Cricetulus griseus: one gene and its partners. The protein of the gene in region 1 binds, or shares a complex with, the protein of each later gene. Links are inferred from orthologs where the notes say so. Each region holds a gene or a part of one and is shown in the gene's direction. Other genes may lie near its edges. The genes, in order: Snip1, Plrg1, Ppil2, Cwc15, Snrpd3, Cwc22 and Rbmx2.

Evidence for each region.
Region 2: Snip1 (region 1) and Plrg1 share a complex: the UniProt entries of both Homo sapiens proteins name them as parts of the minor spliceosome. The link is inferred for Cricetulus griseus from reciprocal best matches to the Homo sapiens genes SNIP1 and PLRG1.
Region 3: Snip1 (region 1) and Ppil2 share a complex: the UniProt entries of both Homo sapiens proteins name them as parts of the minor spliceosome. The link is inferred for Cricetulus griseus from reciprocal best matches to the Homo sapiens genes SNIP1 and PPIL2.
Region 4: Snip1 (region 1) and Cwc15 share a complex: the UniProt entries of both Homo sapiens proteins name them as parts of the minor spliceosome. The link is inferred for Cricetulus griseus from reciprocal best matches to the Homo sapiens genes SNIP1 and CWC15.
Region 5: Snip1 (region 1) and Snrpd3 share a complex: the UniProt entries of both Homo sapiens proteins name them as parts of the minor spliceosome. The link is inferred for Cricetulus griseus from reciprocal best matches to the Homo sapiens genes SNIP1 and SNRPD3.
Region 6: Snip1 (region 1) and Cwc22 share a complex: the UniProt entries of both Homo sapiens proteins name them as parts of the minor spliceosome. The link is inferred for Cricetulus griseus from reciprocal best matches to the Homo sapiens genes SNIP1 and CWC22.
Region 7: Snip1 (region 1) and Rbmx2 share a complex: the UniProt entries of both Homo sapiens proteins name them as parts of the minor spliceosome. The link is inferred for Cricetulus griseus from reciprocal best matches to the Homo sapiens genes SNIP1 and RBMX2.

Annotation. Positions count from the first base shown.
Region 1 is NC_048595.1:27,983,094-27,987,158, reverse strand, and holds part of Snip1 (smad nuclear-interacting protein 1), read left to right. Parts: intron 1-1,694; coding exon 1,695-2,278; intron 2,279-3,107; coding exon 3,108-3,372; 3' UTR 3,373-4,065. UniProt on the Homo sapiens protein: Required for pre-mRNA splicing as component of the spliceosome. As a component of the minor spliceosome, involved in the splicing of U12-type introns in pre-mRNAs. Down-regulates NF-kappa-B signaling by competing with RELA for CREBBP/EP300 binding.
Region 2 is NW_023276806.1:71,279,932-71,283,996, reverse strand, and holds part of Plrg1 (pleiotropic regulator 1), read left to right. Parts: intron 1-643; coding exon 644-786; intron 787-1,343; coding exon 1,344-1,397; intron 1,398-1,809; coding exon 1,810-1,900; intron 1,901-2,529; coding exon 2,530-2,617; intron 2,618-4,065. UniProt on the Homo sapiens protein: Involved in pre-mRNA splicing as component of the spliceosome. Component of the PRP19-CDC5L complex that forms an integral part of the spliceosome and is required for activating pre-mRNA splicing.
Region 3 is NC_048597.1:72,234,523-72,238,587, forward strand, and holds part of Ppil2 (RING-type E3 ubiquitin-protein ligase PPIL2), read left to right. Parts: intron 1-862; coding exon 863-954; intron 955-1,736; coding exon 1,737-1,826; intron 1,827-2,020; coding exon 2,021-2,096; intron 2,097-3,358; coding exon 3,359-3,519; intron 3,520-4,065. UniProt on the Homo sapiens protein: Has a ubiquitin-protein ligase activity acting as an E3 ubiquitin protein ligase or as an ubiquitin-ubiquitin ligase promoting elongation of ubiquitin chains on substrates.
Region 4 is NC_048597.1:127,982,730-127,986,794, forward strand, and holds the end of Cwc15 (spliceosome-associated protein CWC15 homolog), read left to right. Parts: intron 1-713; coding exon 714-832; intron 833-3,411; coding exon 3,412-3,541; 3' UTR 3,542-3,594; downstream 3,595-4,065. UniProt on the Homo sapiens protein: Involved in pre-mRNA splicing as component of the spliceosome. Component of the PRP19-CDC5L complex that forms an integral part of the spliceosome and is required for activating pre-mRNA splicing.
Region 5 is NW_023276806.1:263,063,297-263,068,004, reverse strand, and holds the start of Snrpd3 (small nuclear ribonucleoprotein Sm D3), read left to right. Parts: upstream 1-1,826; 5' UTR 1,827-1,980; intron 1,981-3,217; 5' UTR 3,218-3,233; coding exon 3,234-3,359; intron 3,360-4,708. Other genes in the region: protein GUCD1, read right to left, coding at 950-992. UniProt on the Homo sapiens protein: Plays a role in pre-mRNA splicing as a core component of the spliceosomal U1, U2, U4 and U5 small nuclear ribonucleoproteins (snRNPs), the building blocks of the spliceosome.
Region 6 is NC_048599.1:97,135,478-97,140,069, forward strand, and holds the start of Cwc22 (pre-mRNA-splicing factor CWC22 homolog), read left to right. Parts: upstream 1-1,368; 5' UTR 1,369-1,551; intron 1,552-4,592. UniProt on the Homo sapiens protein: Required for pre-mRNA splicing as component of the spliceosome. As a component of the minor spliceosome, involved in the splicing of U12-type introns in pre-mRNAs. Promotes exon-junction complex (EJC) assembly.
Region 7 is NC_048604.1:20,788,422-20,792,308, reverse strand, and holds part of Rbmx2 (RNA-binding motif protein, X-linked 2), read left to right. Parts: intron 1-2,354; coding exon 2,355-2,484; intron 2,485-3,887. UniProt on the Homo sapiens protein: Involved in pre-mRNA splicing as component of the activated spliceosome. As a component of the minor spliceosome, involved in the splicing of U12-type introns in pre-mRNAs.

The DNA of each region.
Region 1 (4,065 bases):
GTCCTGGATCTTGTTCTGTAGACCAGGCTGGCCTTGAACTCAAAAGAGATTCACCTGCCTCTGCCTCCCAAGTGCTGGGATTAAAGCCAAGAGCCACCAGCCCTGGCTAGGCCTAGAACACGATCCCCCCCGCCCCCCATGGATTTAGGTTCTCATTCTCACTATATCACTTGGCTGACCTGAAACTCTGCCTCTTCCTCCTGAGTGCAGCCCCAGTCCCTTCTCCTTTGATAGTAGCTATTCCTGACCTTTTTAATTTAGCAAATCTGAGAAAATTTCTATTTTAACATTGGTCCTCTGGTTCCTAGCGAGACAGGTGGTCACTAACTGTTAGCTTCTTCTGGAGACTGCTGTTGAGGCTTTGCCTGTGGACTGGCTGATTACTGATTGATTTCTCATTGGTCTGTTTTTGTCCTTGTTTTTTTGAGACAGCATTTCTTTGTGTGATAGCCTTCCTGTGTAATAGCATGCTGGAACTCTGTAGATCAGACTGGCCTCAAACTCACAGAGGCCTGCCTGTCCCTACCCCCTGAATACTGGGGTCAAAAGCATGTGCCACCACCATCAGTCTCTCATTGATCTACTGGTGTGTTATGTGTATTGTAGTTTCTGCCAGGCTGATTTTTTTTTTTTAAAGATTTATTCATTTATTATGCATACAGTGTCCTGTCTGGATGTATGCCTGCAGGCCAGAAGAGGGCACCAGATCTTTTTACAGATGGTTGTGAGCCACTATGTGGTTGCTGGGAATCGAATTCAGGACCTCTGGTAGAGCAGTCAGTGCTCTTAACCTTTGAGCCATCTCTCCAGCCCCATGCCAGGCTGATTTTTAGTATGTAATTGTTGAAGCTGGAGCTTTTGAAATTATTTCAGTTTCTTTTTGGCTTATGAGGAAGTTGACTTTTTCCTTTACATAAATGTAATGGTTCTGTCCCCCCTCCCCCTCCTTCTCTCCCCCTCCCTCCCTTCCTCTCTTTTTCTCTCTGGAGGGAGGACAGGTTTTGTGTAGCCTTGGCTGGCTGTCTTGGAACTCACTCTGTAGACTAGGCTGGCCTCAAACTCAGAGATCCACCTGCCTTTGCCTCCCAGGTGCTGGGATTAATGGAGTGAACCACCACCACCACCTGGCTACTCTGTTCTGTTTTCTACACATGCTGCCCTGTGAGTTTGCTAGCAGGTGACTGATGGGAATATTATTTCTCCTTCCCTCTGTATCAGCCTCTTGTTTTGAGGGCTCTGGATGTGGGCTTGGGCTATCAGGCCTGTATTTGAGGAGCAGCATGGAGTATAGTCATAATGGCCCTCCAGGGGAACAGAACTACCACAGATGACACTCCAGGGGAATAGAACAGATAGTCTTGTGTAGATAGGAATTTGCTCTGAATATCATCAGCACTCAGGTTATAGATGTGTTGTTCATTTTGGGGGATTTAATTATTTTATGTGTGTGGGTGTTTTGCCTGCATGGATATCTACACCATATAGATGCAGTGCCCATGCTTACCACAAGAGAGCATTGGATCCCCTTGGAATGATAGTCACAGATTGTGAACAGTTATGTGGGTGCTAGGAACTGAACCTGGGTCCTGGAACAGCAGTCAGTGCTCTTAACTGCTGAGCCATCTCCCCAGCCCTGACAGCTTATTCACAGAGTAGAAGCCGTCTTTCCTTTACTGAATGCATCTTAATTTCAGGAACGTGAGGACCATCCTCGGAGAGGACGAGAAGATCGGCAGCACCGAGAGCCATCAGAACAGGAGCAGAGGAGAGCTCGTAACAGTGAGCGAGACCGGCACCGGGGCCATTCCCGCCAAAAGAGGAGCTCTGATGAGAGGCCTGTCAGTGGTCAGGGTCGGGACCGAGACAGCCAAATTCTGCAGGCCCAGGAAGAAGAAAGGGACTTTCATAATGCCAGGCGCCGGGAGCATCGTCAGCAGAATGAAGGTGCTGGCGGTGAAGCTCAGGAGGTGATCCCTCGCCCTGCTGGTAACAGAAGCAGAGAGGTGCCTGTTAAAGAAAAACCAAGCTTTGAACTTTCTGGGGCACTTCTTGAGGACACCAATACCTTCCGGGGTGTGGTTATTAAGTACAGTGAGCCCCCAGAAGCCCGGATCCCAAAAAAACGGTGGCGTCTGTACCCCTTTAAAAATGATGAGGTACTTCCCGTCATGTACATCCATCGGCAGAGTGCTTACCTTCTGGGCCGACATCGCCGCATCGCCGACATTCCCATCGACCATCCCTCCTGCTCAAAGCAGCACGCAGTCTTCCAGTATCGGTAGGTAGACCAGGAGGAGGACTGGAAAGGGAGCTGGGGTGAGTGTCTCATTGAGGACCCCTATGCTGTTTGTGGAGATGCAGAAGAGGCCATTACACCTTGTATCTAATAAGCTGGGCTGAAAGAGTCTAGCAGTCCTTGAGTAATCTCTTAACATTTGTGTGAGAATCTTGAACTTGATATCAGAAACCCAGATTAGCCGCTATCATTGCGGTGGTGCAGGCCTATAATCTCAGGTGTCAGAAGGCCAAGCAAGTATAAGCCAGAGTCAGAATGCCAGGTATATGCTGGCTGAATCTGCTGCTTAGATCATATTACCGTTACTATCTGATCCTCCACAGTCCCGTGGGAAAACAGGACCAGTGTTAACATCCTCATTTGACATCTGGGAAAACTGCAGCTCAGCACAGTTGCTGGTAGCAGTAATGATCTTCAGAGCAGAGCTCTGTCTCATATCCCGCCCTTGACACGAAAGTCTCATCTCATTCTAATGTTTTTCCCCATTTGGGCTGGTGCTAAAATAGCTGTACAGCATTGGAGGAAGTATATTTGTAGCCATAGCAAGAAGCCTTGAGTTCTACATTGGGATATCTCATGGCCCTCCATCCCCACCCACCACCCACAGCCAGCTCTACTTTTTCTCTTAGATATATTTAAACTGCTCCCAATTTCCCTGTCCAGGGCAGTGCTTCCCCTGTGACCTTCCAGAGGTTTTGTTTGAACCATGTTCGAGTCAGGTCAGTGACATCTAGATCTGTAGCAGAGAGCTGCAGAGTAGATGGTCCCTGGTAGGACTTGCTCACATGCTTCTCTCACTGGTCTCTTCTAGGCTTGTGGAGTACACTCGTGCTGACGGCACAGTTGGTCGGAGGGTGAAACCCTACATCATTGATCTGGGCTCAGGCAACGGGACCTTCCTAAACAACAAGCGTATTGAACCACAGAGGTACTATGAACTGAAGGAAAAAGACGTCCTTAAATTTGGGTTCAGTAGCAGAGAATATGTCTTGCTCCATGAGTCTTCAGACACATCTGAACTAGATAGAAAGGAAGACGAAGATGACGAGGAGGAGGAAATGGTGTCTGACAGCTAGCAACTGAGAAGCACCCACCCCCTCCCCCATGAGAATCCGTTCCTCCTGGAGGCCATGGGGTTGACTCCAGCGCCTCTTCTTGCCTTAAGTCTTTTCTCTGTTGCTGCCCAGCTTGTGTTGCAGTATGAGAACTCTCACTTCGTGTTTTGTTGAACTTGGCACAGCAGCCGCCTGCCTGTGGGCGCTTGTTTTCAGAACAATCTCACCAATTACAGCATGTTGAGTTTTGGTCAAAGTGTGTGGCTGTAGTGGGTGCCTTCAGAACTGCTGCACAGGAAACTTAAGCCCTTGGAAAGGGGATTGTGGCTTGTTCTCTTTGTACAGTTTCTTATTTATATAGTCGTTGAGCTTTGTGGACCAGGAGTTTTGTTTTGGTGACAAACCCTAGAGCAGAGAATCTCAGTAAGCTTTGGTTGTCACCAAAACAGCCTCCAGCTTATACCAAAGCTTTGGCCTGGGTCAGCTCTTGAGTCATAGAAGTTCATTTTGCACTTCGTTTTTTTGGGGGTGACAATTTACCACATAACCTCATTATTGACTGTCTAAGCTAGACAGACAGACACTCTGCGATGCCTGTGCAGATGTAACTGTGTCGGGAGGTCATGGCTCCTACCCACGGGCGCTGGTGACGTGCCATGTCCTGGGTGTGGAGCTGCATCCTCTGAGGATTCCTGATTTCCCCACGAAGCACAG
Region 2 (4,065 bases), on another chromosome or scaffold:
TGAAATTGTACTTGCCCAGTACCTACTCCCATCTTTACTCCTTAGTAGAATGAAGACTTTTGAGCATATTTTGGTTGTCACCAGCCTTACTCTGGGATTGTGTTGTTTGTAGTACCCTTCTTTGTCCTTTGCTTTTTCTTTTGTAATCTACTTGATCCCCCTCATTTTATTTATATTTAATCTATAAGGTGTATTTTTTAAAAATAATATAAGTACATTTCTCTTTAAAAGGCTGAACTAATTTAGTGCTTTCATTGGGTCTGACATTTTCAATAACTAGTAAAGGTGTCTGCCAGACATTTTCATATATTTTAAAAAATATATTAGTGTATGCCTTTAATTCATTTGGACCCTTGAGGTCTCATCAAGAAAGCTTACATGTTTATTGGGCAAACTAAGGTCCTACTTGTGTTTAATGAATGCTATATGATAGATTGTGAGAAAAAGTAAATATATATGTATGGAAACGCATTTTGAAATTTGGTACTTTTTAAAATACTGTTTAACTTGAAAAACATTTTGTATCTGTGAGAGCAAGTAAAGTATTGGTTTATGTGCTTGTTTTCTGGCTATTGAATATTTTCATTGGTGAGTGTGTTTTCAGTATTTAAAGATGCATTTCTTGTTTCTAATTTTTAAATAGTCACAAGCGGAAAATGGCAATCAAGCTTCGTAATGAGTATGGTCCTGTATTGCATATGCCTACTTCAAAAGAGAACCTTAAGGAGAAGGGACCTCAGAACGCTGCAGATTCATATCCTCATAAACAGTATCCTGCCAATCAAGGTGAATCAGGGTTACATGTGGATTTTTAAAATAGAAAAAAATGTTTTCTTAATGCCTCACTGGGAAGACTGATTATGTTGCTGTTACTGTGGAAGTTTTAATTGCTCATCATCTGGAGTAGTGACTAAGATTTGTACTTGATGACTTCACTAGAAAACAAAATGTAGTACAGTTCTTAAGAGGTAGACAAAGTTACAGTGGAGTCTACAGGGAAAATTGAAGTTTATTATTAGCCTGTGGGGAGACCATCTGTCAGAAAGATGAGATTATAAGGAACAAAGAATTCTTGTGTCCATGTGAAACTATTTGCTTTGAAGAACCACCCAGGTAGTTGTCAGTGAATGGGAAAACCTGTATTCCCAGCATGGCTAGCTAAAAATGCATGCTCTTTCTTGATTTGGTAACATCTTACAGGCAAAATGACCAACTTGCTTGATTTCTGAGGCTTCAATTTAGTTGGGAAGGAAAACTGTAGTTAATATTAATAATTCATTTTTAAAGATACTTGAATAAAGATAAATTCACTGGCAATGACTTTATTATTTATTTATTTTTAGGACAAGATGTTGAATATTTGGTGACAGGTACACATCCATATCCACCAGGACCTGGTAGGTGACAATAAGGCTGTACTAGGTCTAAACAAATGTGTTATTGTTGGTTTAGACAAATATGCAGGTACCTAAATTTAAGCATATGGAGTAGGTATGGCTGAAGCAAGCAAGTACACATGTATGTGTACATGTGTAGACAGGTTTATATAACTGCTATTTGCTTATAAACATACTGTCTCAATAAATAGAAATTTGACTTTATTAAATAATCTTGAGTTGCTCTTAATGCCAACCTGCTTGTATTCAACCAGTATTTATTATGAAGTAGTTAAAAGCAAAGACAAGCTGAACTTAATCAAGATTATTATACTGTCATTGCTTAGAAATGACTTTGTTTTCCTCCAGGTTTGTTTTAAGTGCAAGTAATTAAGGTCGATAATACTGAAACTAACTGTTTTTATTTAAATAGGTGTTGCCCTGACTGCTGATACTAAGATCCAAAGAATGCCAAGTGAATCAGCTGCACAGTCCTTAGCTGTGTCTTTGCCAAATCAGGCCAGGTATTACTTATGCTTTAGTGACACAGATCTTCACCATTTCACCATTTGCAGTTTTTGGTTGTTAATGTGTGTGCCTGTGGAAGCCAGATACTACTGACCTACCATTAAAAAGGAGAGAGAGAGAGAGAGAGAGAGAGAGAGAGAGAGAGAGAGAGAGAGAGAGAGAGAGAGAGAGAGAGCGCAAGCACGCACATACCATAATGCTCATGTGGAATGAAAGGACAGCTTTGGGAATTGTTTCTACTGTAGGCTCAGGGGTTGAACTTAGGCAAGTGAAGCAAATGCCTTTACCCACACTGTACCATTTCACTGCTCCTACCTTTATTTGTTTAAGGTCTTTCTTACTGTCTTGGAACTCAGCAAGTAGGCTAGGCTGGCAATCAGCAAGCCCTGGGGGTGTGCCTGTCTTGTTCCCAGTGCTGGAATCACAAGCACATGTCACCATGCTGTTTTTTTTTTTTTTTTTTTTTTTTTTTTTTAAACAAAGGTCCTCATGCTTGCAATAGCAAGCACTTTACCAACTGAGGTGTCTCCCAGCTGGCTTCCAGAATTCATCAAAGAAAAGTTTGTGCAGAATACCTAATTAGAGAGGTGCTGAGTAATTATTTCATGATCTTTCTGTTCTGCAGAGTTGATGCAAATCGTACTGCTCCTGCTGGAAGTGAGTACCGACACCCAGGGGCTTCTGACCGCTCCCAGCCCACAGCGATGAATTCCGTAAGTCTCTTGGGTCAAAAGAACTGTAGATTTCTAGCTTTTGGAATATGATTCCTTCCTTTCCTTTAACTTTAAAGTCTTACTCAGATGCTGAAATCAATAGTGTCCTGGGATCTGTTAATAGAAATAGCAAACTGAGATAGTCCTTAACATTTATTTTATAGCACTAAAAACATAGCTTTGATAAATTACTAGTTTTTGTTTTTTGTTTTTTTTTTGAATCCAAAATCTTGTTTCTTAACATTATATATAGTTTTTAAAGACAATATTGTGATCTTGGTATTTACTAATCAGTCTCAAAAATACAAGGAATAGGGCTGAGGAGATGGTTCAGTGAGTTAAGAGCACTTGCTGTGGCTGTGTGCAAGCACAAGGACCTGTGTGTGACTGTGTGCCATGTGTATGTGCATGCACACACAAAATAATTAAATTTTAAGAAAACAATTTTTATAGTACTAAGGTATTTTTCAACTTCAACAGGGTTTGTCCCTAGGTTCCTGTATTGCTTTTACTGCTGCCAGTGAGTGAATCAGTTATCATTTATTTTTTTTAACTTATGTTTCCTTACTGTAGTTACTGGGAAAGTGTTACCCTAGTAGTAGCATCCAACACACACACAATACAAGGCATGTTCTGACCCTTGTATGACTTTATGTTATTGTGGACTGTACTGGTAATGCAGGTTGGTATGATTGCAGTTGGGTGCTATTGGTTTTGTGATGTTCTGTGCAGTCCCTTGAGAGGAGTACAGGCTTTATTTGCACTGTGATGGAGTTCATTTGGCAAAGACCACATTTCAGAGCAGATCTCTGTTCAGGCTTTCTGTTTCCTTAGAATGATATCATGTGAGTTTGTTCAGGATAGGGTCTCATGTAGCCCAGGCTACCCTAGAACCCTGTGTAGCTGAGCTAACTTTGACCTCTCCTGATTCTGCTACTCTGCCTCCTGAGTTCCTGAATTGCAGGCTGGAGATATACCCAGATCTTCATGCATAATAGGCAAGCAGTGTCCCAATTAATACATCCCTTAGCCCAGTTTATACCTCCTAAGGGTAGAATTTCATAGCTTTCAATATAGTTTTGGATTAATGGGGTGATGCTGATGGTAGCTTCTTAGGTTGTGCATTCTTTATTCGAAGTGCTTGGACTGCAAGTGTTTCAGATTTTAGGTTTTTTTTTTTTTTTTTTTGGCTTGGAATATTGACAAGCATGTTTTAAACTTAATTACACATTTTTTTTGACATTTCATAAATGTAAAAATGCATTCTGATTACTCTCTCCTTCCAACCCTTTAGCCTTCCTCAACCCTCCTTTGTACTTCATGTCTTTATGTTTTGTTTAGTCGCCAACTGGGTTTAACCAGACTTTGTGTAGACCATGGGTTTGGAATTATCCACATGAGCTTGCTGGACTCAGTGGTAGATACACACCTGAAGAGAATGACTCCTC
Region 3 (4,065 bases), on another chromosome or scaffold:
GGCTGGCTAGCTGGCAGCTGTCACAGAGAGCTAGATGAGGAAGCCCAGGAGATAAAGGGAGTGGTGGTAGAAAGCAGTGGAAACAGGGTCTCTAGAAAGATAAGCCAATTCCTGTCTGCCATGGCTTTAAGAGAAGGTGGGTCACCTGAGCCAGTGGGGAGGCTAACACTGTTCTGAGTAAGGGACAATGAACAGGAGTTTGTTAACAGTGTGGGAATGGAGCTTGAATGGCTGGTATCCCTGTGGTTCCCAGGTCTTGGTAGCTGGCCTAAGGTTCTGCCTCCTTCCCTCCTCTAACCCCTACTGGTTCTTCTCCCTGTCCCCGACCCTGACAGAGTTTCCCTGTATAGCCCTGGCTGTCCTGGAACTTTCTCTTGTAGACCTGCCTGCCTCTGCCTCCCAGGGCTGGGACTGAATGTGTGGGCCACCACCGCCAGTTGTGTCCCGTCCCATGTGGTCCTTTGGATGCAGTATCAGTACACACTAGGAAATGCACTGCCACTGAGCCTCTTTTAACTTTCACTTTGAGACAAAAGTAGTCTTTCTTTTAGTAATTTATTTTCATTTTATCTGCATTGGTATTTTGCTGCATGTGTGTCTGTGTGAGGGTGTCAGCTCTTAGAGTTACAGCCACTTGTGAGCTGCCATGTTGAAGCTAGGTCCTCTGGAAGAGCAGTCAGTGCTCTTAAGCACAGAGCCCTATCTGCAGCTAAGACCCTGAGACTTCTTAAATTGTCCAGCTGGTCTTGTAGTCTGTTCTTCTGCCTCAGCATCTGGAGTAGCTGGGTTATAAATATGTACTATCATGATCCCTTATCACAGCTCTTAAGGGCCACTAACCCTGTGTGTGCTTTCTTTCTAGGGCAGTACCACTGTCCAGTGCTGTACTCTGTGTTCACTGACAACACACATATTGTGGCCATCAGGACAACAGGCAATGTCTACACCTATGAGGTAGTCCCCTATTGCAGTAAGTGGGACTGTCCAATGTGGGGCCCTCACATGTACTTTGGGGATAGTGCAGAAACCTGGCTGAGTGCTGGAGGTGAACGAGGAACATCGAGCATGCCTGTCCCCTTGGGGTTTATAGCCTTCAGCACAAGGCATCGTTTCTGGCAGGTAGCCATCCAGCCTACTTTTTGAGGCCTTAAAATAAAGATCAGGTGACCTCAGCTGGACAGTGGTGGTGCACTCAGGAGGCAGAGGCAGAGTCAGACTGCTCTCTGTGAGTTTGAGGCCAGTCTGATCTACAGAGGGAGTTCTAGGACAGCCAGTCCTGTTATACAGAGAAACTGTCTCCGGGAGTTAAAAAAAAGAACCTAGGTGACTCTGGTGGCTTTGGACCTGAAACCTACGAAGGCAGTTGGGGCTGCCTAAGCAAGGATTCCTTGCATCCCAGGGAGTCTTCCCTGTCTTCAGCATAGACCAGACTCTGGAAAGGACCCTGGGAGTATAGGGAGAAAGGGGAGGCCAGGCTCTTAGGAAGGAGGAGGTGTCAGATTGATGGGAGGTACAGGATCTATCTTCCTTCACTGATCAGACCAGGGCAAGAAGCAGTCTGTGATGCAGAAGAGCCCATGTTAGACCTCTTGTCTGGAGCAGCCAGGTTGGTTTAGCTAGTCTCTGCCAGGAAAGTGGGAGCATTTGAGATGTGCACCCCAGATTGGCTCTTTGTATGCTGGGTTCCCTCTTCTGTGCCATGACAGAGGGCTCATGACACCTCTGTCCTGCTGTAGGCAGTGGAGCAGCTAAACATCAAGGCCAAGAACTTGAGGGACCTATTGACTGATGAGCCCTTTTCCAGGCAAGACATCATCACCCTGCAGGTAAGTGCTTCACAGTGAGTGCCTCACTTTGACCCCCAGCTCTGCCTTCAGCTCTCCTCATGAGGCTTGGTGATCTTCTGTACCACAGCACCCGTGGCCACTGCTCCCTGCAGGCACCTGTCAAGCCTTGCCGTCGGCAGCAGGTGCTTGCTACAGGCCTGGTTTTCTTCCTGAGTGTTCTCTTCTTGTCACAGGACCCCACCAATCTGGACAAATTCAATGTTTCCAATTTCTTCCATGTGAAGAACAACATGAAAGTCATAGATCCAGGTATGGACAACTGAGGCTGCTGCAAGTAAAGTGGAGGTGTGCTTCCTTCTCGGGTGAGCTCTTCCTTCTAAGTGCTGGGGTTACAGGCATGCATACACCACCATGTCTGTCAGGCTCCAGGTGGTCAGAGAAGCTGCTGGCTGTAGTCTTGGAAACACCAGGACACCTCTCTTTCCCTTCCTCTGCTCTGGGGGCCCTGTGGTTTTTTTGGATTCCTGTTGGCTGCTGCCCTTTCCAGGACAAGTGAGACTGTGGGTGACTGGGTGACATCAGACTTTGTAGGGTGCTGTGTTTGGCCCATGCCGTTGATCACACTGTAACATACAATGGAGCGGCTGAAGCTTCTGGACTTGCTCTTCATTCCAAGGAGCCAGCTAGACTCATGGCCAGAGCTTTTTTTTTTTTTAAATAAATTTTATTTAAATTGGAAACAATCTTATTTTACATATCAATTCCAGTTCCCTCATGGCCAGAGCTTTATTGGCCCACCTTAGCAGGAAGCAGTATTCTGACCTTTATAATGTACACTGTGGACCAGTCAGGATTTAGGGAGGTAGAACAACTCAGGAATAACTGAACTCAGGAGACTAAGAGGCCAGGCCTAGGGATGCTCACTGCCCAGTAAGTGGCCTGGCAAGCAGCGTATGGCATAGATGAAGCATTTCTTATATGAAATACTCCAAACTCTTCCTTCCTTTGAAGTAAGCACTTTTAGCTGGGCAGTGGCAGGGCACGCCTTTAATCTCAGCACTTGAAAGACAGGGACAGGTGAGTCTTTGAGTTAAGGCCAGCCTGGTCTACAGAGTGAGTTCCAGGACAGCCAGGGCTGCACAGAGAAACCTTGTCTTGAGACCCCCCCCCCCCCCCCCACACACAAAAGCGAGAAGCGCGTTTAAAATCACACAAGCAAAACATTTTGAAAAGGCTGTAGAATACAGGTAGATACAGAGGACAGCGACACTTGCGTTTGAACCATCCTGATACTCCCATTGACTGTATGAGGGAAACCCCTCTAGCCAGGCCCCATGATGTTGTGTTCTGTGTGTGTCCCACCTTACTGCACCCACTAATGCTACTGCCAGATGCCCCAGGGCAGTAAGCTCTGGCTGTGCTATGGCCAGAGAAGCCTGTCTTAGTCAAGCCACCCACAGCTTCTGCCATGTGGCCAGTTCCAGCTCTATTCCTGTTGTGTTCATCTTGAGCCTCTGGGGCCTTGGCTGCCTGCTGTCTTGGCTACTCAGTGTCCATACCCTGTTTTGTAGATGAGGAAAAGGCCAAACAGGACCCATCTTATTACTTGAAAAATACAAATGCTGAGACCCGAGAGACACTACAGGAGCTCTACAAAGAGTTCAAAGGAGATGAGATTTTAGCAGCCACCATGAAGGCACCTGAGAAGAGGAAGGTGGACCAACTGAATGCTGTGAGTGGGTTGCTCTGTCTCTGCCTCTGACCAGTGGTAAAATGCTGGGGAAGGTGCTAACAGAGATGGACCTGGAGGTGTGGTGGTTGGGACCCTCCCAGTCCTGTGGGGCCCTCCAGGGCTGTTGAGGTGACCTGGCTCCAAACAAATCAGAAGGGCGTAGTACACTTTTGGGGTGGAGGAATGTTTGACAAGCTGGGGTCCTGTGGCAGCAGTGGATCAGCAGAAGTAGGTCTGCTTTGTGCTGTGGGCTCTGACCCAGGCTTCAATGCCAAACTACCGTGAGTCTGATGTTCAGAGGCGGCTTCTCCATTTCAGGACAGATGGAAGGGGGGGCTGGGACTGCCAGGGTCTTGAGGTCTCTGACCTTGCTTAGGCCTTACCTGGGGCGCAGGTGCTGGTCTGCCCGAGGTCCTGTCTGCAACTGTCTGTGTTTGCTGGAATTTCTCCAGCACATTTAGCTGATAGGTGCTGTCCTCCCATTTAGGCCGAGCCTAGAAAGCCTCAGCCATGGGAAAGGCAGAGGTGGGTCTCCCATATAGGGAG
Region 4 (4,065 bases), on another chromosome or scaffold:
GGACCAGACAGTAAATATTCTTGTGTGGCTGATCACCCAGACACACAAGTAGTGGCTCTGTTACTATTACAGCTCAGAAGTGGCCACAGTGCCTATATTAATAGGGTGGCCATGTTCTCAAAAAATATAATCTCAAGCCTGGGGGGAAAGTGTAGATTTGATCCAGAGGCTGTCTGACCATTCACCTACAAGTCTGACAATATGTTTTTAAATTTTAAATGTTTATTAAAATGCTCCTAAACTTAACCTGTAAGTAACTAAATAAAACGTTTACATCTGTATCTCAGCTTCTCACAATTGAGAGACTGTTGACTATTTTGGAAAGAATGAGATATTTGTAATAAAAATAGCAATGTATTTACTTTTTACAAAGATTTTTCTGGTATTTGTCAAGAATCAAAAAGAGGAATGAGTAAGTTGGTAAAGTGCTTTCCTGCCATGTGCGAAGCCCTAGGTCCCTACCACTGAAAAACTGGGCCTTGTTGTGTACATCTGTGGTACACAACCATGCACTCAGGAAGTGGGTAAGAAGTTCAAGGTCATCCTCTGCTACCTAGCAAGTTCCATGCCAGCTGGGCTATAAGAGAACCTGTCTCAAAAAGGAGAAAGGAAAGGAGAAAGAAAACTACCATCTGACAGATGTTCATTTGTGAACCAATATAAGACAACTGACTTGAAGTTAGTAACTTTGTGTCTTCCTCTGCCATTGACAGGAACAAGAACAAAAAGCAGAGGAAGAGAGAATTCGAATGGAAAATATTCTGAGTGGAAACCCCCTCCTCAATCTCACTGGCCCATCCCAGCCTCAGGCCAACTTCAAGGTTAAAAGAAGGTACTAAAAGTAATGGGTTGACCAGATGGTGGTGGCACACACCTTTAATCCCAGCACTTGGGAGGCAGAGGCAGGCGGATCTCTGTGAGTTTGAGACTAGGCTGAACAGCCAGGGCTACACAAACCCTGTCTTAACCAAGGGGATAAAAAATAATGGGTTGATCTATATGTGTGGTACATTATTTGTATTATGTGTTACATAAGGCTTCTAAGACCCCACCTCCTATATATAACCTCAGTCAGATTTTAGAATAATGGGAGAAGAAGAGAGGCAGGATGACTTCATTTTAATGCATACTCATAATAACCAAGTGTCTGCCAAGTCATGGTCTAAACCTGATCACTAGCTACATGACGGTAGCTACAAAACCTGTACGTGGGATGTGAGTGGAAGGGTCCTCAAGACCACCCCTCACAGTTCAGTTCTAGAAGGATTCAGGGGACTTGCCATGACCATATTGATGTTTGATATTGTAAGATACACACAGATCATACAGTTGTGAGTATTCATAGATATACATTCAGGTCACAAGGTGGAAAGACATAGACTTCCTTACACTCCTATTCCTGTAAGAGGTCACTAAACAGTGAAACTAGAAGTTGACACTTGATGATCAAGGTTATTGGGACTCGTCCTGCAGGAACTTCTGTTGCGTGGAAGTCAAGTTAGTTATGTACTATAGGCAAGTGATGGTGAGAGGTGACTCGGGTCTCCAGTGCTAGCCGAGCTAAGAGGCAGGCTGGGAGTGAACACTGTACTGCATGTGAAGGAGGAGGGCACTAGAGAGCTGGAAAGAGTCTGCATAATGTGACAACAGATGAGGATGCAGAGGAAAGTAGAGTGAGCACTCACAGGAGCCACTGTGTGTGTGTGATGGGGGGGGGGGGCTGTACTGTGTCAGGGGTGAGGAGTCCCGTTGCCTTTCCTTTCTGCTCACCTCCACCGCTGCTGTCTCATCAGGAATGAAGCACTGCCCCAGCTGCTCTCCTGCCCATTCACCCCAAAGGTCATGCTCCTGCTCACACACAAAGAAAACTCCATCTTCTTCCAAGCTCTTCTCTCATCCCAGCACCATGGTTCTTTCTTTTAAAAGTCACGATAATAGCTGCTTTTTTCTAAATTCGTTCGTTTCTTTACTCGATCACAGTAAAAGAACAGTCCTTGTGGTGACATAAAGCTAAAAACTTAACACACATTCTTGAAGACAACAGTACAGTCAAGGGAAGGTTTGCTGACACCAGCAGTTTAGAGACCAGACTCCAAGCATTTTACCTGAGCAGTTGCAAGGCAGGCATGGGAAGGAGTATGGCTTATACTGAGCATGAAAGAGGAAACAGGTTCCAGGCATGCTAGGATTGGAGTGCTCTACACATCTCTAAGTGTATCTAGTCTGTGTGTTTCTGCAGTTGGTTCAAGCTGGTAATAATTCGTCTGGGAGTCACCAGCATGGGCAGAGGGTTGTGTCAGTGCCTGGAGTAGGGTGCAGTATAAGTTCATAGTACTGGAGTAGTATAAGTTCATAGTAAGTGCTTAAAAACTAGTATTTGGATTTAAAATCCTAGGCTAAGACTAAGCACCTAGAGAAGAGGGCAGCCAAGACATTCCCATTAGTGTTGTGAGAGGAATGAGTGACAGTCTGGGAATACTGTATGCTGATGTGTGTTCGAAGAGAAGGGAGCAAGGGACCAAAAGCTCATTGGGATGAGTTAAGAGACAAAACACGATAAATGAATATGAAGCAGTCTGGTTTATTCTTCCCTTTGTGGATGCAGGAGTAAATATCCCAGTTTACCATGCTGCTGAGCTTCTCATGTGTGCAACATCAAGGCAAATTTACTGACACAGTACCCATAGGTACACATAGTCTTTGCTCATTTTCCTTGTGCAATTTCTCCTGGTAAATATACACCAACACACACAAGCACAATGTAAGCTGTGTTTTATGTATGTTTGTGTCTGTGTTTGTCATGAGGAAGGGTTTATGTTTTTATATGGGAGGTGCTGCTCTGACGTTATGCACTTTACTTTCCATGGCACCTTTCCATGAGTGTGTTTCATGCTCTCTGAAATCCAGCTGAGTTCTACTCTGAGCTCCTTAGCAGATACTTCTTCAGTATTAATGGAGACTGGGGCCAATCTGTGAATCTTCATTGTTACATTCCTGTAGTTCTGTCTTTTGTTGCTTTATGATGTATGACCAGCATGATGGATATAATTGATTAGAAGTATGTACAAAACTTTACAAAGCATCAGGAAATGGATCACTTACTGTCTAGTGGTGTTGGATCAGGACCATGGCCCTGCCTCTTGGTTTTAGACCTGAAAATATCACACCTTTACCTGAGCGCAGTATGTGTGTCTGCTTCTGCTTTGTAGCTCAGAGCTGCTTCCACTAGGGGAGTGGTATGTGCTCTGAGTATGGGTGCCTCCTGCTGTGACAACTTCCACCATAGGCACACCAGTTCTTTTCTTGTCAGGAGGCAGATTGTGTCTGTGTTGATGAAGCTTTACAGCCTGTGTGGTGTTCTTGTTTCCTGATAGAATTATAAGGTATTTATTTTCTTTTCTTCCCCTTTAGGTGGGACGATGATGTCGTTTTTAAGAACTGTGCAAAGGGTATAGATGATCAGAAGAAAGACAAAAGATTTGTAAATGATACACTTCGATCTGAATTTCACAAAAAGTTCATGGAGAAATATATTAAGTAGTACAGTTTTATGTGCTTAATTAAAGTCTAATAAAATGTTAAGGATCAATTTGACTTTTGGGGGGTTTGTTCTTTCCCTGTTTGAACTTTCTCAATCTCTTTCCCGTAGTGTGGTATTTTATCTATAATGGATTTAGAGGTGAGTCTGACCAGTTTCCAGTCTTACTTCCTTTTTAATATGGAGAAAGGGAATCTGCTTGGAATAAATATTTTTAACCTAAGTAAACCAGTGTCCCCAACTTTTTGCCATAATCTATGCAGCTTATAAAAAATTACATGATTATTTTTTTAAATGAAAAGTACTTTATGTGTTGTTTTTAATGCATTAAATTTTCCCTTTATCCCACACTGATTTGAGGTCCATTAGTAGATGACAGCACTGTGTTTTGTAAGTGTGGTAAAGGATAAGGGGGATTCCACATCAGAGAACATGTCACCATAAGTCCTCTGGGGTGGGTCAGGAGATGCCTGCCATATCAGTCCTGCAAACAATGTTCTTTTCTTTTGGCCTATGACATCCGTTCC
Region 5 (4,708 bases), on another chromosome or scaffold:
TCTCCCTGGACACATTATCCCTCTCAGCCTCAGCCTGCTCACCTCAAAAAGTACAAATAACAGCAGTAGCCTACTTCACCGGGATTTATGAAAATTAATCCTATACCATCTATAAACACTTTACCACTGTATCTACCTCTTAGCTCGACACAAGTGAGCCATTATTTGCTGAGGCTAAGAAAGGGCAACGATCTTATCAAAGTTCACAGTTAGATAACTGGAGGAGTAAAAATGTAAATCCCAGGGTAGGTCCAAGCCCTGCTCCAGCCTACCACCAGAAGGAACCATTCCCCGAAAGTGGTGTTACTCTCCAATTGACACTTAAGGAAGGGCTCAGGCCCCAAACCCCTTGACCCTTCCCATGAGATAGCAGCACGCCACAACAGCTTATTAATATATCAACTCTTGTGCCCCAAGCAGAGCTCCACCATGACTTCCAACTTTCCCCACTTCTTGAGCAAGCAAAGGGGTTCGGGTTTCCTCGGGGCGGAGGGAACCAGAGAGAGAAGAGTACTAAGACAAAAGCGCTGCGTTTGGGAAGCCAGATTAAAAAAAAAAAAAAAAAAAAAAAAAAAAGGCCCTTCCCTTTGCTGAGGGATCTCAGGCCGTTCTTTCCCCCTTCACAGCCCCAGGCCTTCCACAGTTCCCCCTAGGAACAGCATCACGCAACGGGGTTCAAGCAGGACCATTCGTTTCTGGGGAAGGCAGTGCCTTTGCCCCCTCGGACTTTTGCACTTGACTGCTCTCAGAACTCCCCGAGAAACAACCAGAAGCGGAGGACGGGAGACGAGAAGGAATATCCATCCACCTAGCTAAGGTCCACTGGAAGCTCCAGTCTGGGCTGAGGCCGCCTGCGGCCCAAGGTCGCGCGGCCAGACCCTGCCCAGCTCCAGGGCGGAGTCCCCCTCGGTTTCCCCGGTGAGGGCAAGGCCCTCTGAGAGGCACTGACCGGGCTCGAGCGGCTGCCCCGCTGCCTCTGCCTCCGTCCTCATGACCCGGGTGGCGCAGGGCGCCCATGGCCCCGGCCTGGAGCTGATCGCAGCTGCGACTTGTGCTGGGCAGCGAGCGCGGCCAGTGTGGGGAGAGTTCCGCCGCCGCCTCTCCTCCTCCTCCTCCTCCTCCTCCCGCCGCCGCCGCCACCGCCGCCCGCCGCCGCCGCCGCCTCCGCGGTTCAGAGCCGGGTGGGCGGGGGCTAGGCCGCCTCAAGCCCCGCCTCGTCCCTGCCAGGTCCCCGGCCTGGAGACCCGCCCCTCCCCTAGGCCACGCCTCCTCGCCCACCCACTTCTCTCCCATAAAGAGCGACCCGCAGGGCCCGCCTTCTGCGGAAGCCCCGCCCCTCCCGGGCCCCGCCCCCAGGCCCTTCCATAGCGACGTTGGCTCCTCCCAAACCCCCTCCGCTCGGCTTGCTCCTTTGCAGCCCCGGGTGTTAGCGCCGGCCCCTCGCAGTGCCTGCCTCATCGAAACGCCCCGGGAATCCTCCTCTGCCTCCCTTTCGGTCTTAGCCACACGATGAAAAATGCCAGTTTCCCACGCTCGGTGCGCCGCTTACCTGATGGCGACCAGATCCAAAGCTTAGATTCCTAGTCCAAGCCTCACTTCCTGTGGCACCACAGCAATTTTGGGGCTCCAGCCTAGCTCCCGCCCAATCCGTCCCTGGAGTACTTTGTAAGTGGGGGGGGGGTCTCCATGTTCCTTTTGGGGCTCGAGGACGGATGCTTCCGGCGGCCCCCCGGGTCCTCTCCAGGGCCGGAACGATAATGCCAGAGCCGTCGTTTTCCGAGCCGGCGGAGTTAAGGAGGAAGCATACGTCAGAGCGCTCTCGCCGCTGGGGAAAGGAAGAGGAGGGGCCCTGCGCGCGGTATCCTGGGAACGCGTGGTATTCTGGGTACCCCGGGCCCGCCATTCCCTCGCTTCACGCCTTCGCCGTGTAACGTTTGTGCCAGGGCCGAAAGGGAGCCGGTGAGGAGAGGCGGAGAACCGGTAAGAGGAGGCCTAGGCGTCCCCGGAGGGTTAGGGGCAGGAAGGGAGCCTGCGGAGGAGCTCAGCGGGGCACTAATGGCGGGCGGGAAGCCTGGGCCGATCCAAACACCGTCTCACCCGCGCTTGGAGCAGCTCCTCGTTTACGCCTGTCTGCGCGTTCTGTGCCTTTCCGGCTCGCCGATTTTCGGAGCTCGCCCGCAGTCGTTTCTCACGAAATACCCCCTTTCCCTGTGTGCCCTCCTTTTCAGCGTCCTCTGCATCCCTGCTCCCCTCGGATTCCGGCGCTGGCCCTCCCCTGCCTTCCACGACTGCTGCACGAGTCTTAGCGAGTCGCTGTGCTGCAGAAGGGCCATGTTCGAGCTATCCTGCAGATGCTGCTATTATTCCTTTTTGTTTTCTACTGAGCCTTTGGCAATGACCCTTTTGTGTCCCCCCCCCTCCACCGTTTTCAGCATAAAACTCACACTCCTTAAGTTGAAAGCCGTGGTTCCTCACCAAGAGAGACAGCGCCCAGCATCCTTATAGCCTTCTCATGGACATAGGTGGGAACGCTCATCACAGTTGCGCTTAGCCTCCGTCTTTTACTGAGGCTTAAATCGAGCGTCGACCCTGATGGTGCTCCTGTGAGCATTTCCTGTCACTTTGTGAACGCCTTGCTATCTTATCAGGGTCTATGTCTGCTGAGCACTTGGAATATTACTAGTGTGACTGGGAGGGGAGGGGCTTTTTAATTTATATTTCAGTTGAATAGCTACAGGTAAGCAGTGATTGCTTTTGAGGTCCATATCATAGTTCTTGGGTGACTATAAAGGGTCATGTGTTTGGGAATAGATAAGAGGCACTCTTCATTCCCACCAGCCTCTTCTGTCCAGCTTGCTTGCCATCCTTCCCAGCTCGAAGGCAGTGTGTCCTTGCCATGGTGGTTCCTTCAAACCAAGAGTCAGACTCCTTCCACAGAAAATGCAGCTTAGGCCGGGCGGTGGTGGTGGCTCACACCTTTAATCCCAGCACTCGTGAGGCAGAGGCAGGCGGATCTCTGTGAGTTTGAGGCCATCCTGGTCTACAAGAGCTAGTTCCAGGACAGCCTCCAAAGCCATAGAGAAACGCTGTCTCAGAATAAAAAAAAAAAAAGAAAGAAAGAAAGAAAGAAAATGCAGCTCTGACATATTTGCAAAGGGTATGGTATGCCAGTCCTTCTTAAGCTCTGAAAGACAGCTGTTGTCTCTCTCTTCCACAGGAACACTCCTGCCAAGATGTCTATCGGTGTGCCGATTAAAGTCTTGCACGAGGCTGAGGGCCACATCGTAACTTGTGAGACCAACACTGGCGAGGTGTATCGAGGGAAGCTCATTGAAGCAGAGGACAACATGAACTGCCAGGTACCTTGCTTTGCACCTGTGAAGGAACTGTGGGTGAAAGGTAATATCTCTGACTGCTCCAGGTCTAATACACATACCTTGGAGTTGTCATAGAGAGTTCAGATGGCTGTGTGTTCACAGTGGCCAGCTCAGTGCTTTGCGTGCAATAACTGGTGCCTGTTAACTGTATTCCACATGAGAAAAGTAAAGGTTGGAGAGGGAAAGTACATTATTTAGAATCACACCTGTGGGTCAGGTGGCCTGACTATTGCCTTTTAGGGTTTGCATTAGTTATTTCCTGTGGCTGTGATAACACACCATTAGAAGGGGTTTTTTTAGGCTTGCAATTACAAAGGAATGAGTCCATCGTGGAGGGGAGAAATGGTAATAGCAGGACGCTGAGTGCTTACATCTTCAATAGAAAGCTTGAAGTAATGAGAGCTACCTGGAAGTGTTGGAGGGTATTAATCTGAAAGCCTGCCTCCAGTGACATTCTTCCTTCAGCAAGGCTGCATCCCCTCATCCCACCCCCCCCAAAACAACCCACCAACACATGGGGGCCAAGTGTGCAAATGCCTGCAACTGTGGAGGATACTTTTCATTTAAACTACTGTAATTGTGCTGCTTAGTTTTTTTGTCAACTTGGTGCAAGTGAGAGTCACCTTAGAAAGGGGAACCTCAGTTGTGAAAATGCCTATCCTATAGGCAATTCTGTGGGGCATTTACTTGATTAGTGATTGATGGGTAAGTGCCCAGCTTATTAAGGGCTAAGCCACTTCTAGGCAGTTGTTTCTGGAATAAGAAAGGAAGCTGAAGGCTGAGCATGGTGGTGCACACGTTTAATCCCAAGACTAGGAGGCAGGGGCAGGTGGATTTCTGAGTTCCAGGAGAGCCAGAACTGTTTCACAGAGAAGCCCTGTCTCGATAAACAAAACAAAAAAGATGTATTTGTCTGTTTTAGGGCATTTAGTTTTGGGAGTAGAATGAAAGAATTTGGATAGTGACTATTAATATATTTAGTATGCTGCTCTAATTAATGAAACTTACCGAGGTGGGCTTCAAACAGCCCAACTATAACAGGAATTTGTCTGACTAGATTATGGTATTCTCAGAAGTGCAGCCCATGTGATGCAAAGACACAAATCTTAGTACATTATCAGGTTAAATCTTGGAAAGCAGTGTGTCTTGTGTGTGAGCTTTGTGCTGCCCTTGCCCCCTGTTCCCTCCAGAATCGGTGATAACAGATGAATGCTCACTTTGATTTACTTTAGAGTGTGTAAACTGAGGTACTGGGAATTAGGACTTCATTGTGTCCTAATTTTTGCAGGGACATAATTTAGCCCATAATACTGCCCACATCAAGATGATGA
Region 6 (4,592 bases), on another chromosome or scaffold:
GGTTAGATTTTGGTAGCACTGAAAATCAAAGATTAAGGAAACAGTATAATTGATGCCAGTTCAGTGAATTCTTACAGATTTTACTTTCCAGCGTTACAAAGTAGTGTTCTCCTTATCCTAAGCATGCCAGGTGGTACCTCCCTAAGACCAAAGAGTCACAATCTAACAATCTATCTACAATTTGCTTTTTGCTTTTTATTTTGCTCTTTTTTTTTTTTTTTTTTTTTTTTTTTTTTTTTTTTTTTTTTTTTTTTGGACAGGGGCTCACTATGTAGCTCTGGCTGTCCTGGAACTCACACAGATATGCCATATGCCAGCCTTGGCCTCCCAAGGGCTGGGAGTGAGCACCAACATGTTGGGTTCCATTCACTTGATTTTAAAATCTTGGAACTAAACATTTTGTCACCTTTTCCCCCCTGCTAAACAGACGTTTGGTAAAGCTTTTTGTCAAAAGCCTGAAAGAGATTTCTACCTTGTTTGAGAAAGGGTTTCTCTGTGTTAACAGCTCTGGCTATCCTGGATGAAAGGTTTCTATACCCGGATAAGCCTCTCCACCGATGCAGCAATCCATGTCAGACAAAATCAAACCGAATTAGAGAAAAGTCCATGTTTAATGGATACTCCCTGATGGACTTCCAGCTCCCAAGAGAGGAGACAGAAAGAAAGACTTGAAAACCACATGTCTATTACCCGGGGAGCAGTTTAAATACCCTGTGGAGTGGTCTTGAGCATCTCTGGGAGGGTCATCATTTGGCAGGCTTTCTGAGATGAAGCAGGGATTGGAGGGAGATAGGGGAAGGGATATGGGTGGAACTTCCACCATAACATTCCAGATTCTTTGGATATATGGATGTCAGGGGCTGGGGTAAAACTTCTACCATAACACTGGGACTCACATTGTAGACCAGCCTGGCCTCGAAACTCACAGAGATCCACCTGCCACTGCTTCCTAAGAGTGATGGGATTAAAGGTGTGTGCCACTCCACCAGGTTAGGGAACTCTACTCATTTTTAAGATCTTCATGGTAAGGCTCTGTTCTATGGTAGAGTACTTACCTAGTACGTATCTTAAGGTTAAGCTTCAACACTGCAAAAACACAAACAAACAAACAAAAAACAAAGCCAACAGAAAGTGACTGCTAAGAGCTACTTTTTATGGTAATAGAAATTGTTAAAATAAGTTGCATGCCTGGAAACCTAACCCACAATCAAGTTTCTCTGTTGTGACCGCCTACCCACTACGAACTGCAATTCCCATGAAGCTCCGCGGTTATCTCTGGCAGGGTACTACTTCTCATTTCCGTCCGCGCTACCAGAGGATCCTGGACATTGTAGTTCACACGGACTTCTATTTTCGCACAGTCTTGGCAAGGAGGGACAGGGTGGATGGCTGGATTGCTTTGACTCTGGTGTTGCTCACGGTATTATCATTACTAGAGTAACATACTAGAGTCAATTTACTACCAGATTTCCACGAATTTCTCGCTCTGCCTTCACCCGGGAAGAGGAAGTGACGCACTTCCGGTGCGATGGCGGCACGGTGGAGCCTTAGGTAATTACCGAACTCTGGAGACTCGGGATAGACAAGCAGCCAGAGTGGGGGCGGCGGGGTGCTGGATCGCGTGTAGAGGACAGGAGCATGCGAGTGGGTGCTGGCCGGGTGGGCCTCGCTTTCCGCGCGTGGCTGCGCCGTCTCCACCGGCGGCCCGCGCCCCGCGCGGTGCGGCGTGAGCGGGCCGGGCCTGGCGCTGGTGGAGGGGACTGAGCGAATGGGCTCTGGTCTAGGTTCTCGCGGGTGGACGCCTTTCCTGGGAGCTCCCAGGGCCGTATCCTCGCAGTCCCGCTTGCTGAAGTCCCTGCTCCTCAGGACCCGGGGCTGGCATTAATAAACTGTAGTAACGCTCTTGCCTCATTCAACTTAATAGCCCACTGGCCAACCCTGTTAACATTTTCATTTGTGGTTCTTTCTCATCGACTTGACTGAACCTCTGTCGTGTGCCTTATCCCTAGTGCTCCATGTTTCGCTTGGTGTGCGTTTTATCTCTCGTCGTTAATCCTAACGCTAAAATATCTGTACTATTCTTAAGTCCCAAACATAGGTATGCAGTACTAGTTATTTTCACCTGCTGTAATTGCGAGACAATTTTATCCATTATACCCGCCAACGTTTATTTGAGGGAAGCAGAGAATGATTTGGGGAAGCATGAATTATTTTAAGCATGGTAAGCCTCTGGAGAGATGGCTCAGAGGTTAAGAGTGCTTGCTGCTCTTGCAGAGTACCTGGGTTCAGTTCCAGGCACCGACATGGTGAATTACAACCATTTGTAATGCCAGTTTTCAGAGGACCGGATAGCCTCTTGCTGAGCTGTGCTGGCACCAGCCACTTGAGTTGTGCACATAATGTACATGAAGGCAAAACACCCTTACATGTAAAAATGAGCTACATTTTTTCGGTGAATTGTGCACTGTATTTAATAGACTGCATTTTTTTCTATCCCTAACATCCTAAGTTGTTCATGACTGGCCTAGTCAGACTCAGTCAGGGCATAGACTAGTTTCAAAAAGAAGTGGTTATTAGTTTATACAGCTATACTATCAAATTTCCTTTGTTTTCTGTTTAAGTCTGAGCTTACTAACATGAGAGGGTAGGGGAACACAAAGGACTCTAGTATGGATTTCAGCAGCTCCTCAGGCTTGTTACACATTTTCTTACATCTCCCAGGTAAATGTGGGAAAAGACATTTGGATGCTGACCACAGCACAAACTTTGGAAGGATTTTCTTAAAAGTTAGCACATGGGCAGAGGAGTGGATTGAAACACACCTTTGCCTTTTGTAACATCAGTAAATCCTAGTGAGCAGAAAGCAGAAAAACAAGTATGGGGCTTCCTTCTTTAGGAAAAAGCTTCGGTGATTAAAGAATGAGCTGCTATGAGAGACCCAGAATGAACTGATGTTTAATCTGTGCTTGAACCTAACTCTTTAATGGCTTAAGCTGCACAAAGCTCAGTAATCCTTTGGGTTCTCTGAACCAGTTTATTGAGTACTTTCCTTCTAGACCAGAGCTTCTGTGGCGGGTAGTAGTGCTGTGTGTCTGGAGGCTATGTTGTAAATTTCTCTGTGGAGAGATTTCCTTTAAGCCAGACTGTGCTCTGGAAAAAAAACAAACAAAACTTATAATGATCAGAAAGGTCATTCCAGTTCATTCTATGAGAGTTAGCAGAATATATTCAGCTCTACATTTAAATAGTAAAGCTGAGGACCAGATTTGATTTGGGGAAGGGGAGGATACAAAGTATGAAGGTTAGATGAAGGCCTGTGATACACTCCTATGTTTGTACCATCAGGGTCCAGTTTCCTCTGTGCCTAAAAGGGCACAGCACCTAATAGTGCTGCCTTGATGCAGATTATGACAGACAGCTTGGTGGTTCCAAGAATAAGAGACAGAGGAGTGTTCTCTATATGTTGTCAGACTAACTTTAGTCCTTTGTGGATCTAAGATAATGAAAAACCACCCTCCCTTTCTCAAACTTAATTTTAGAATTGGAACCTGTTAAGAGTCTGGTACTGTCTATGATGGAGAATTTCAAAGCTCTGCTATATCCATAAAAAGCCTTTCATGGTTTAGCTTCATCGGTCTCTTATGGTCCATCTCATTTATGTTCAGTTTCTATATGTTCCATTTATTCAAATGACTTAGTCACCCACCTTGGGTTTTTTTTTTTTTTTTTTTTTGTCTCTCAGCCTGTATGCATGTGTTTACCTATCCAGAATGACTTTCTCTTGTTACGTGGGTAATTCCTACTTGTCCTTCAGGAGTAGGCCTTAGTATCTCCTGCTTTCTGTACACCCCAGGCTTTTTCTTTTCCAGCAAATCTGTTTGTGGTGTAGCTACATTTAGATATTTCTTCTCTACCTTAAGGATAAGAACATTGACCTTTGATGTCTTCTGTGTTGTATAATGTAAGTATTGCCTCCCTCTCCACAGCCACTGTTTTTACCAGGAAGACTATAACTATGCTGTAGCTTCATAATTTTGGGAGTCCTGTATCATATATTTTTCAGTTGTTATAGCATCAAAGAGACTCTTCTGCACAAATACAAGCTTGAGCAATTGAAGAAAACATCTAGTACACGATTAGAAGCACTAAAGTGTTTTATTACAAGGCATGTATTTACTGAGTATGGTGAGGATGATCATGTTCTTTTTTAAATTTAAGGTCTTTGGCCTTTGTTATGAAAATGGGTGAAAAACTGAGTTTAGTCAGTAGATCAAGAGAAACTATAATGATACCCTTGCTCAAGAGTGAGCTGCCAGGCTACTGAATAAAATTAAGCCCTATCCCCTGGCACCTAAGCTATGAGCCAAGGATGTAGGGGAAAGCAAGCCAAGAATAGACAGGCTTAGGAAAATGAATCCTAAGTTCCATAGATTTAGGGGATGGGAGCAAGGAGGATGCCCCTTAGGGTTGTTCTGTTCTGTAGCAGGACTGTTACTGAGAAATCATTTTCTGTTAAAAAATAATGTAAAGTGAAACATATAGAGACAGACAGAGACAAAGGTTTCTGTTTCCAAAACTTTTAAGAACTTTTG
Region 7 (3,887 bases), on another chromosome or scaffold:
CTACCTTCTGGGTGCATAGAGATGTTTGCTTCTGTAGTTTATTTTTGTAAGGCAAAAACAGTATTTTAAGCTGGCTATGGAGTTGTATACCTCTAATGCCAGTAGAAGAGACTGTGAGGTAGGAGAATCACCATGAGTTTGAGGCCAGCCTAGGCTACATAACGAATTCCAGGTCAGTCTGCACTACAGAGTGAGACCCTGTCTCAAAAAGCCACCAAAGCCAGTTTAATTCCAGTCTGAATGACATCCCTGTGTGGTGAAGGCTAGAGCTTTGATCAGTCCCAGGCTAGATAAGGTTTCAGAACATTAGCATGTGGGAGATCCCAGAGCTTAGATCATTTGAGAGGCTTTCTGAAGGAGCCTAGTTCATTTCTGTCAAGTTTTTCCTGAACCTTGTTCAGCATGGACTTGCATTAGAACAAACTGGAATTCCCAGGAAAGTGCAGTGTTGACCTCTCTATTTGGGTTCCTATAAATTAGAGGTCATCCATGATGACAGGGCCCTCTGGGCCCTATCTGTGTGGCATTGTAGGATTAGGTCAGAGCACTGAAAACTTGGGCCAAACAGACACAGATTTAGCCTGGTTTTTATCAGCATTGCTGGATTGTTCCCTGAAATGGTTTTACTAATATCCACTCTCACTGAAATGCCTATTTACCCAAATCCTTTTTTTCCCTTTTTGATATAGGGTTTTTCTGTCCAGCCCTGGCTGTCCTGTACCTTTCTGTCTTGTTACTTTACTGAATTGTTATGCTGTTTATTTTTGTCATTGTCTATCATTGATGCTGTTCAATTTTCTATATACACTCTTGTATATAATCTGCAGATACTTTTACTTTTTCATTTCTTATATTAGTTTTATCTAACTGCATTATCTATGCCTCCAATATATTGTCAAATTGTTCTCAACCTTATTTGAAGCACATTAACCTTTTTGCATTTTGATACTAGATTTGGGGTTGGTGTGTATATGTGTAACCATATAATTTATATGTACTCATATAACTTATGTATCAATTATAGTTTTATTTTCTGACTCTTATAAAGCTTTATTTGGAATTGGTTTTAAAAGAAGTAAGGCAGACTATTTTTGTATTCAATTTTTGTATTCAATTCAAATTCAATTTGATCTTTATTAAAGTCTGTGTTTATTAGGTTTGTTTTATTTCATATTTATGCTTTTAAAAGAATCAAATTCTTCAAGGTTACAGATTTTCCTGAGTAGTGAGGCTTAGCTGCATCCTATAAATTTTCATGGCATTTTAAAATTTGTTGTTAGTTGCTAAGTGATATACCATTGACCTTTTAAATTTTGTTTCATTTTTCTTTCATCCATCTATTAGCTAAGAGAATAGGTTTCAAGTTCTGGTTAGCTGCAGGTTTTTATAAAAATATTTAAAAAAATGTTATTGTATGGGTATTTTGCTTGTATGTTTGTCAGTACCACATGAGTGCCCAGGCACAGAAGAGGACGCCAGATGCTTTGGAATTGGAGTTACTGATGGTTGTGAGCCTCCAAGTAGGTGCTAGGAAGTGAACCTGGGTCCTTTAGAAGAGCAAAACAGTGCCCTTAAACATTGAGTCATCTCTCTAGCTTCAGTAGCAAGCTTTGTTTAAAATATTATTTAAATATTTGTTTAAAATATTATTTCTAGTTTTATCACACTGATTGGTGAGTATATACTGTAGATTTTTAGAGTTTATTTTTAATTGATCCTCAAAAAGATTTGTTTTTAGTTCTGTGTCTGTGTGTGAGTGTGTGTGTGTGTGTGTATGTGCATGTACATACTCATGCTTGTAGAATCAATCCAGAGGCATCAGATTTCCCCAGAGACACAAAGGTTGTGAGACACCTGGCTTGAATGCTGGAAACTAAATTTGTTTTTTCTGCAAGAGCAGAGGTGCTCTTAACTTCTGAGCTGTCTTTTTTCCCCAGAAACTTTAGTGCTTATTGATATTTATTTTGAGATCTTACCAATAGTGAATCTAATTTGTTTTATGAATTCTTGAAAATAATTTATCTTGTTATATACTTCAAAAATACCTATATGTTTCCTAGTCTGACATTAGTGGATTATTGGCAATTATTTTTATTTCTGTTTCTTTTATGTTATTTGATATTAATTCATCTGGTCTTATTCCTTTAAGCTTTGTTTTAAACTTAAAAATCTCCAATAAGTTTCTGTTTCTTTTTTGTAGCCCTGGCTGACCTGAAAATCGAAATATAAACTAGGCTGTTTTCAACCTGCTGTATCATCTTGTTCTATTTCTCCTATACTGATTATTTGAATTGATCATTCAGTATGAAAATGTTTGCATTTTAAATGAATAATACATTTTATAAACTAAACAGATATGGGGAGATTGTCAACATTAATCTTGTGAGAGACAAGAAGACGGGCAAGTCCAAGGGATTCTGTTTCCTGTGCTACGAAGATCAGAGGAGCACAGTTCTGGCTGTTGACAATTTCAATGGAATTAAGGTAACTGCTTACTATGCAGGATTTGACTGGATTTTTCCTGTGTATGGGTTAGGCGGCATTCTTTTTTTTTTTTGTCTCCTGTTTACAGGTGTAGGAATAGTACTGGTCAGCTGGATGTATTGTGGGGGTTGTAGAGGTGCCTAGACACACTGGATAGGCAATGATTCCAGGAAACGATTTTCTGGCTTATGCATCTGCCAGGACTTATTCCTTTTCCGTATGTGTTAGCAAATTGTCATTCCAGAAACATGGGTACTGTGCCCCCTTATCTGGGGGATGTTTTTCTTATACACATTTTCCATCTGTTCTAGTGGATTAGAAACTAGAAACACTGCTCTTGGATATTGTGCTGTGCTAGGGAACCAGGGGCTTCATCATGGCTTTGTGAGCTAAGACAGAGCCATGTATATCTAGCATATGATTCCAGTGACTTCACATATTGGCTCCTGGACATTCTTTAGTTAAAATCTGGTGACTAATTCTATAAAAATAAGCCATTCTGAAATTTTAAAGGAGTAGTCTTCAGAAGAAGTCACCATCAAAGGAAAATTGCTTTTTAAATTTTTTTTATCAAAATGATAAATAGACAAAAGCTTCTCAGGCTTAAAGGTACACATAAAAATGTACTCTAGAAATGGAACAGTAAAATTGAAATTCAGGGTTCAGATGTTATTACCTGGAGAGAAGTGTATCTATTTGAAAATAGACTGTTTATAAAACACAGGCTTCATTTTGTTGTTCACCTTTGAAACTCTAGCTTATAGTCCAATACTCAGTTGGAACAGAAAGGTCCTGTTTGACAGGAGTAGAGAAAGGTATGAGAGCTCAAGAAAAAAGGAAGTAAAACTTGGAATATCCTCAGTGAGAGATGCTTCTCTATGAGACCCTTGATTCAATACCACCATAGCAAAAGCATTTTGTTTCCTTGGTCTTATTTTGCCTTTGTTGAAACAGCAGCTTTAGATTTCATGTTTCTGGCCCTCATGCTTTTCTAGGACATGTTTTCTTGTTAAACATTGTGTATAACTTTGCATGTATGTACACATATTCATATGTGTTCATGTATAGTTGGAGGCCAGAGGACAGCTTTGGCATCATTCCTCAAGATCTGTCTATTTTTTCCTTTATTTCTTTTTTTTTTCAGACAAAATCTCTCACTTGTCTGGAACTTGTGAGTAGGCTAGGTTGCTTGGTCTGTGAGCTCCAGCTGTCTTCTATCTCTGCTTCCCAGTGCTGGAATTACAAGTGTGTGCTGTCACCCAGATTATGTGGGTTCTTGGGATTAACCTAAGGTCCTTATTCTTACAAGGCTGGTGCTTTACCAATTGTACCAGTTCTCTATCCCTATAGATAATCAATTGTCCTTTAAATCCTAAAATCTTATATACTTTCTTGATGTGCTT